Arabidopsis thaliana: one gene and its partner. The protein of the gene in region 1 interacts with the protein of each later gene in a pairwise test. Each region holds a gene or a part of one and is shown in the gene's direction. Other genes may lie near its edges.

The links. The genes of interacting proteins can lie anywhere in the genome.
Region 2: the proteins of AT2G24700 (region 1) and CRF11 interact in a two-hybrid assay, tested with the Arabidopsis thaliana proteins (one large-scale study listed by BioGRID).

What each region holds. Positions count from the first base shown.
Region 1 is NC_003071.7:10,513,135-10,517,501, reverse strand, and holds the start of AT2G24700 (Transcriptional factor B3 family protein), read left to right. Parts: upstream 1-2,090; 5' UTR 2,091-2,213; coding exon 2,214-2,291; intron 2,292-2,366; coding exon 2,367-2,646; intron 2,647-2,721; coding exon 2,722-2,858; intron 2,859-2,952; coding exon 2,953-3,220; intron 3,221-3,287; coding exon 3,288-3,397; intron 3,398-3,485; coding exon 3,486-3,750; intron 3,751-3,834; coding exon 3,835-4,121; intron 4,122-4,210; coding exon 4,211-4,367. Other genes in the region: GLR2.3 (glutamate receptor 2.3), read left to right, coding at 1-167, 239-622.
Region 2 is NC_003074.8:9,473,107-9,477,473, forward strand, and holds the start of CRF11 (Integrase-type DNA-binding superfamily protein), read left to right. Parts: upstream 1-2,305; 5' UTR 2,306-2,712; exon of another isoform or gene 2,713-2,812; 5' UTR 2,813-2,945; coding exon 2,946-3,944; 3' UTR 3,945-4,367.

The sequences.
Region 1 (4,367 bases):
CCTTTGATACTGCAGAAGAATGTGATGAGCTTCTAAGTAAAGGACCAAAAAAAGGTGGTGTCTCTGGAGCTTTCTTGGAAATACCTTACTTGAGACTCTTTCTTGGACAGTTTTGCAACACATACAAAATGGTTGAAGAACCCTTCAATGTTGATGGATTCGGCTTTGTAAGTTCCTATATCAAAACTTATGTGAAAATTGCATTAAATGGTGAGAGATCATAAGTCCTTTTTCGCAGGTTTTTCCAATCGGATCACCTCTAGTGGCCGATGTTTCAAGGGCCATCTTAAAAGTAGCAGAGTCTCCAAAGGCAATGGAGCTCGAGCGTGCATGGTTCAAGAAGAAAGAACAAAGCTGTCCTGATCCAATTACTAATCCAGATCCAAATCCCTCTTTCACCTCTAGGCAGCTTGACATAGACAGTTTCTTGTTTCTGTTTGTTGGCGTGTTACTTGTGTGTGTTATGGCACTCGGAAATTTCACATATTGTTTCCTAGCGAAAGACCAGGTTTCGTACCTCGATAAGGTAGAGATGAGTCCGTGTTCATCAAGTCAACAAATGCCTGTCAAGAGGAAGACACAATTAAATATGTCTCAAGTTCATGACCAAGACAGTCTTTAATTTAACAAAAAAACATATGCTATTATTATACCAAACTATTGTACTTTTTTTTTCTTTTGAATGAAGAATTGTACTTTATTTTGTAAATAAGGATTTTCAGAAACAAATGACCCATTTAAGAGAGACTATCAAAGTTACAATAGAGGTAGATTTTATTACGTGTTATGCAAGACATTAAACCTAATGCTATAAATTCTTATGTGCTAACGACTAGTAGCATATTAACTTATCTGGAATTAGGGTTATACTTTTTCTTTTTTGGGTTATACTTATATGCAGTTAATATAATCTAAAGAAATTTTCACGTTTATGCTGAAAAAAAGATGTGGTCTCAGCGCAAAGTGAGATGTGGATTTCATAGTTTGACAATTAAGACATTTTAACATAGAAGTAGAAAATAGAAAGAATAAATATTAGAAACGAAAATAATTTGGATAATTGTAGTAATAGTGTTAGTTTAACCACTTTTTAATATACTTAAATGCATTCAAATGCAAATCTATTATTGTAGTAGGACAAAACCAAGTACAGGTGAATAACTGGATATATTGGTTTATTAAGATACAATTGTGTTTGTCCTGCTCTGCTTTATATCCGTAACTCCTCTGTTCTTCCATTCAGACCCAATACATATTGGTTTTCACTGGAAAAGGAGACAATAGATGGAACTGTTCACAAACAAAAGAAAAGATGGATATTTTGGTGCGTTGCGCTTTGTACTTTGTAGTGATTAGTTTGGATTTTTTCTTTTTTTGCTTTGTGGGGAATAAAGAGATAGCCTAGATGCACGTGATACGTATTCCTACAGTGCTACTGAATACTGATGTACAAATAGTTCCCTCTCGTGATTTTTGTTTGTGGTTTCAAGAGAAATGTTGCTTACATTGAAGATTGAACACACTATTATTTTAAGCCTTTTTTGCGTGTACTTAAAATATTCTTTTACATTGTTAAAAATACAAAACGTTTTTCAGTTTTACAATAAACTCACTTTTTGAAAAATATAAACGTAAATGCAAACAAAGAATCGAATTCTTATTCTTTTTGACAAAAACGAATCCACAACGTAACTAACTAATTTACTGTCAAAACCATATGATATTTTGATAGCAAACATGAATGTTTTCACTTCCTAAGATTTAATTTCTTGTAAACTATTTTTACATTATTATGGTACCTACGTGTTGAATTAAGCATATTTAGTTTCAGATCTTTTTCTTCTTCTTTTTTTCTTTCTTTTGGTTAAAGACCAATGTCTTCTCAAGATTTATTTTTCTCGTTCATTGATATTTGCTAAGTTTATTTGATGAATATTTTCCATAACCAATCAGAGTCTTTATGTTCAATCCCAACACTATTCTCAGTCAAAACTTGTTTTTTTCGAAAACAATATATAGTCTTTGGAAAAAGCTGATAAAGGTCTTTTTTAACATTGCTTTATAGAAAAAGCTGAGAAAGTTTCTTTGACGTTTTGTATAGAAAGCTGAGAAAGGTTATTTTTTTACATTACAGAAGTAAGGGATACAAAGTTGTTAGTTCATCTTCTCTCCGCTCAGAAGAAGAAAAACTTAAAAAAATTCAACGTCTGAATATGGCTAATCCACTTCTCTATTCTCCGATCAACCCACAATTCTTCCAACCACTTCTTCCCGGTTTCACCAACCACCTGGTACTCTGTTTCTCTATACTCTCTCCGACCAGTTAAGTTACTTCTGTTTGTAACTCATCTAGCATGCTGTTTCAGGACATTCCTGTGGCGTTCTTCTTGAAGTACTTAGTGGGAACTAACGTAGGAAAAACGGCTGAGCTCAGATCAGATGCATCGGAGATGACATGGAAAGTGAAGATAGACGGCCGGAGACTCTCTAATGGTTGGGAAGATTTCACAATCGCACATGATCTCCGAGTTGGTGACATTGTTGTTTTCAGACAAGAAGGAGAGTTAGTGTTCCATGTCACAGCTTTAGGACCAAGTTGCTGTGAGATTCAATACGGAGAAGATACCCTTGAAGAGGATAAAATTGGTAACCTTAGTTTCATATTAAATATCATTAGCACATTTAGAATGAGTCTAAGAATATTACTTAATCTATCAACAGAGAAACTTTGTGGTACGGAGAATGTTTCAAGTAAGAAAAAGAGTCTAAAGAGAGAAGCTGAGTCTGCACCAGACAATTCACTAGATTCTTGTTTTGTGGCCACTGTCACGGGTTCGAATCTAAAGCGCGATACATTGGTATGTTACTTCCATATTACTCATTACAGTAATTTTTATGTTATTGTATATTCTTGATAACTCTATCTAACTTGGCTTGTGGCGGCATTTGCAGTATATTCCGAAAGAGTTTGCATTGTCAAATGGTCTGATGAACAAATATCAGATTGTGTTAATGAATGAAGAAGGAGAATCATGGAAGATAGACTTGAGACGCGAGGCATATAATTACGGCCGGTTTTACATGAGAAGAGGCTGGAGAAGTTTCTGTATTGCTAATGGGAAGAAACCTGGAGACGTTTTTGCATTCAAATTGGTCAAAAATGAAGAAACACCTATGATACAGTTGTTCCCTATGACCATTGAAGATTTAGACAAACTTCGTAAGTTAATTTTCATAATCCGTTGGTTATTGAGAAAAATCTCAATCAGATTCTATAATTGATACAGAGAGTCTTCCAAGACACAAGATTCGAAAAACAGAAGCAGCTCCTTCTTCACCGGACCTTTCTTCTTTTGTAGCCACTGTCACGGCTTCAAATCTAAGCCGAGATAGACTGGTTATGATACTCCTGACTTACATATATTGATTTTGATTTGACTGAGAGGTGTTTTAATGATATTCATGGTGACTGTACTTGACTGCAGTATCTTCCGAAGACGTTCATTATGTCAAATGGTTTGTTGAAGAAATTTCAGATGTGTCTAATGAATGAAGAGGGAGAATCATGGACGATAGATGTGAAACATGAGGCACATACAGGCCGGTTTTTAACGATAAGAGGTTGGAGAAGATTCTGTGTGGCTAATGGGAAGAAACCAGGAGACTTGCTCAAATTCAAATTAGTCCATAACGAAGAAACACCTGTGCTCCAGTTGTTACCCTTGAACAGTGAAGATCTACACAAACTTAGTAAGTTGTTTATGCTTTATTCTTTCAAGAAACAAAAATATTGAAATAAAATTGAATAACAAGAAGCACTTTCTTCCTCTGCAGATCCTAGCAATGACACAAGGCATGGACAGAGTTTAAAAGTTACCAAAAAAGAGTTTCTTGGCATGGAAGCCACAGAAAATGAGTTTCTTGGGGAAGAAGTTTACTGTAATGACTCCTTTAAAGCTAGCGAGAAAGATACTCTTCCTTTTGCTGAACCTATCAATGAAGATATAAGGCAAGGACAATGTTCACAAACTATTAAACAAGAATATGTTTCCACAGAAGAGAAAAACTCAACAAGCCAAAACCGATTTGTGACCTTAACACTTACACATTCAAGTAAACTTGTAAGTTTCACAAGAAAACTCTGTTTTTTTCTTGTTTTTTTTTTTCCACTTAATACTCTCGATATATAATCTGATGATGGTATCTACAGAATCTTCCGTTTGAATTCATGAAGCGGAATGGAATCAAAAAGGCGGGGAAGATAACGATGGTTGATAGATACGATGCAAAATGGCGTACTTCACTACTGATGGACAAGATCGGAACAATGAGTTTAGGAAGAGGTTCAAAAGGTTTCTGCGAGGTTA
Region 2 (4,367 bases), on another chromosome or scaffold:
CTTACGTAGGAAACGTTTTGTTGAAATAGTAATAATTAGTAAGGGTCATTGTATATTGGTGGAGAAAATGTTTTTCTTACTTCTGTAATTGCATCGTCTTTTCTTCACGTAGGGTAGGCAATCACATGCATTCAGGCGTGCGTTCACTGTTTTCTTTTTTCTTCTAGCTTTTTGTTTTCCTACTATATTGTTGCAGAAAAATGTTTAGTTTAAACTAAATTAATTATCCAACTCTTTAAAGTGGCAATCTTGTAAATAAAAAGGGGAGTAGGTCTGGACCAATGTGGCAATGCGAGCGATATGTTAAAAAAGCTGTGGAATAAACAAAATTTTGGAAATTAGGAGTTCCTTTCGTTTTATGGAATTGAAAGAAAATGACACTTTCAATATTTTTTTGGTATTTCTTTAGTAAAAAATGTTTTAAATTTTTAATCGATCGAATCGTAATGAACCTTACAAAAAAATCATAAAATTTGAAGTTGATATATAAATTTTAATCTAGAGATGTTAACTTTTTGGATTAATCTGGAAGCGACCTGTTTTAAGTTGTTTCAAAACTATTAGGACCGAAACCAAATAGAATCGAGCAAAAAATGTTAGAAATTTTTATTTTATTTTGTGTTCTTTAGGTTAACCAAATGTTCGTTCATGGTGTAAGATATCAAATAATGGATGAGCTTAACCTCTAAAATACAAGTTTAAATTGATCGGTTCAAATCGGACCGAACTTAAATGATTTTGCAAGTTATTAGAGTGATCATGATCATGTTATGTTACGGAATATTACAGAGTAACTTAACTTAAGCACTGACTTAGTTGACCCAAAAAGAGACCATTGACTTCATGAAATGCTTGAGTGTGGAAAAAATAAAACAGAGTTATTCAAAAACGTTTTGAGTTGTGAATTATTCTCATTAACATTGTATTTATTTGGTGCACAAAAAAAAAAAAAAAAAAAATTGTATTTATTTATACCCACTAAAGATGGGAAGAAGACTTGTAAATTATGATGAAAAGTCCCTCGGTTGGTAGCAACTAGCAAATGTGGGGATGGAACAATCCTCCACGTTCGAAATTGTTCTTCTTTAGCACAATCAAGATACTGCAAAGTAAACTACCTCTAATGTAATTAATTAACCTCACAAATTGTTATGTTAATTAATGGTATTGAATTATACTCGTCGATCTTTTGTAAGATATTTTTGTTGAATGCCGAAAAAATTATCAGAATCTATAATTGATGTTTTTGTTTAAGAGTCAATTTGGGAGAATGAGTTAAATTACTATAGAATACAAGTATACATCACATCAAATAATATGAATAATTCACTAAACAATGAAGGAGTAGTTACTAGTCACTCTCTTTTATTTATTTTTAATTAAAAAACGAATATATATGTTATTGTAGTTTAATACTATTAATAAAATAAAATTCTATTACTTCACTTAGCTAAAAGACCCACAGTGCAGTAACAGTGAGAAGTAAATTTCATGAATAATGTATTACAATACAATAATAACTTGTTCGATACAAAGTATTATTCCTTTCACAAACTAAATTTATTTACCATATATCCATAATATAATTCCAAAAATAGTATGTTTTATTACCATATTGTAAAAGGGAAAAATGTCATTTAAATCATCACTTTACCATTTTCGTTGGTTTAAAACATAAACTCTCGATTTGGTGATTTAAATCCTCAATTTTATGTTGACGTTTAATTTAATCACGAATTCTCGTTAACTAAGCCAATTAAGACACATCGTTAAAAAATTTTCTAATTAAAATTTTTGAGTTTTTCTCTATTTTTCTTCAGAATCTCTTATCTTCTTTGGAATTTCTCTTCTTATTCGAATTCAAAGTAATCTTTCATCTTTAGGTCGATTGACGATACCGGGAAAAAAAATTGTGTCTCAATTGGCTTAGTCAACGAGAATTTGTAATTAAATTGAAAATCAACATCAAATTAAGAATTTAATTCACAAGATCCAAAATTCATACTTTAAACCAACGAAAATGATAAAGTGATAATTTAAAAAACATTTTCCTTATCCCTATTGTAAAACTATTTTCACCAATCTTAACCGAAAAAATGAAATAAAACTGTCCAAAAAAAAAAAACCAAATGCTAATAAAAAACGAATTTAATTTCCCATCTTCGTTTTTTTTCTTTCTTTTAATGCTTTAATAAATTTTTATTGAGATCTGTGTTTGAACAATCGTTTCTTAAAAGATTTTTAACATCTTTTTAAATTCCTCGGTCTCTTAAATTTACCAGTTACATAACTTTCTTTTATTTTTCCGACATAAATTAAAAGTTTTGTCTTTGGTAATAGAGAGGCAGAAAAATCTTGGCCATAGATTTGTCATCTGTTTTCGATTCGTTTTGATTCTTTACTTTATCTTCTTCTTCTTCTTCTTCTTCCTCTTTTTGAATCTTTTATCTTCTCACTTTTCTTTTTCACTTTTGGGAAGCTCGAAGAGCTGAGAGGAGTGTGAGAGAGAAAAGGATCTTTGAAGTCGCCGGAATAATTTGTTTAACCGGAGCTCTGTCTTTGACTCTACGCTTCTCTCTCTTCTTCTTCCTTCTTCGTCTTCTTAATCGCTTTCTGCTCTGTTTTTCTCGTTCATCAAGCTACATCTACTAGCTCTCTCAGTGATTGATTTCTCACAGTTTCATCGATTTCCATGCGTTTAAGACCTAAAAGGTAACTGGGTTTGCTAAAGTTTGTTACTTTGAATGGTTTTTATAGTTTCTCTGTTCGAATCTGAAGTGGGTTGTTGTGTTTTTGCTGGTTATTGAAACAGGACTTGTTCTGGGGTAAAGGACTTTTCTTGTTCTTGAGAGAGTTCATTTTGAGGCTTTTCTGGGAATTTTGAGAGGTTTTTTAGGGTTTAAGGGGGTTTGGTTTTGAATTTCGCACACCAAGTGTTCGATAAAATGGCTGAACGAAAGAAACGCTCTTCTATTCAAACCAATAAACCCAACAAAAAACCCATGAAGAAGAAACCTTTTCAGCTAAATCACCTCCCAGGTTTATCTGAAGATTTGAAGACTATGAGAAAACTCCGTTTCGTTGTGAATGATCCTTACGCTACTGACTACTCATCAAGCGAAGAAGAAGAAAGGAGTCAGAGAAGGAAACGTTATGTCTGTGAGATCGATCTTCCTTTCGCTCAAGCTGCTACTCAAGCAGAATCTGAAAGCTCATATTGTCAGGAGAGTAACAATAATGGTGTAAGCAAGACTAAAATCTCAGCTTGTAGCAAAAAGGTTTTACGCAGCAAAGCATCTCCGGTCGTTGGACGTTCTTCTACTACTGTCTCGAAGCCTGTTGGTGTTAGGCAGAGGAAATGGGGTAAATGGGCTGCTGAGATTAGACATCCAATCACCAAAGTAAGAACTTGGTTGGGTACTTACGAGACGCTTGAACAAGCAGCTGATGCTTATGCTACCAAGAAGCTTGAGTTTGATGCTCTGGCTGCAGCCACTTCTGCTGCTTCCTCTGTTTTGTCAAATGAGTCTGGTTCTATGATCTCAGCCTCAGGGTCAAGCATTGATCTTGACAAGAAGCTAGTTGATTCGACTCTTGATCAACAAGCTGGTGAATCGAAGAAAGCGAGTTTTGATTTCGACTTTGCAGATCTACAGATTCCTGAAATGGGTTGCTTCATTGATGACTCATTCATCCCAAATGCTTGTGAGCTTGATTTTCTCTTAACAGAAGAGAACAACAACCAAATGTTGGATGATTACTGTGGCATAGATGATCTGGACATCATTGGTCTTGAATGTGACGGTCCAAGCGAACTTCCAGACTATGATTTCTCAGATGTGGAGATCGATCTTGGTCTCATTGGAACCACCATTGACAAGTATGCTTTCGTTGATCATATCGCAACAACTACTCCCACTCCTCTTAATATCGCGTGCCCATAAGTTTTGCAGCTAGGTGTTATTATTAGCTATAGGAGCAACGTAAAAAGCTCGTTGTTACTCGGTTTTGTCTTAAGTTATTAAAGTATAGCAGAGGCAGTTAATCTCAAGGGAAGCAAAAACCCTAAAGATAGAAGCAGATGCAGTTTTGTGTGTTGGTGTTACTAAAGAAAGTTTTGTTGACATAATGGTTTTGATGTTGTGGAGAAGATAGAGAGGTGTGATCGAAATTGTAAATCTCAGGTGGTTTTTTTTGAAGGCAATTGTTTCTCATTTAGGGTTTTTTTCTATATGAGGATTGTCTTTGAAAAGCCTTTAGATGTTTTCTAATTCGTAAGCTCTCTCAATCTTTGTAAGTTTTGCCTGTTGAGTTATTGATACATATGTGAGACCTACTTTATTTGTTTTGTGCTACATACATTGTTG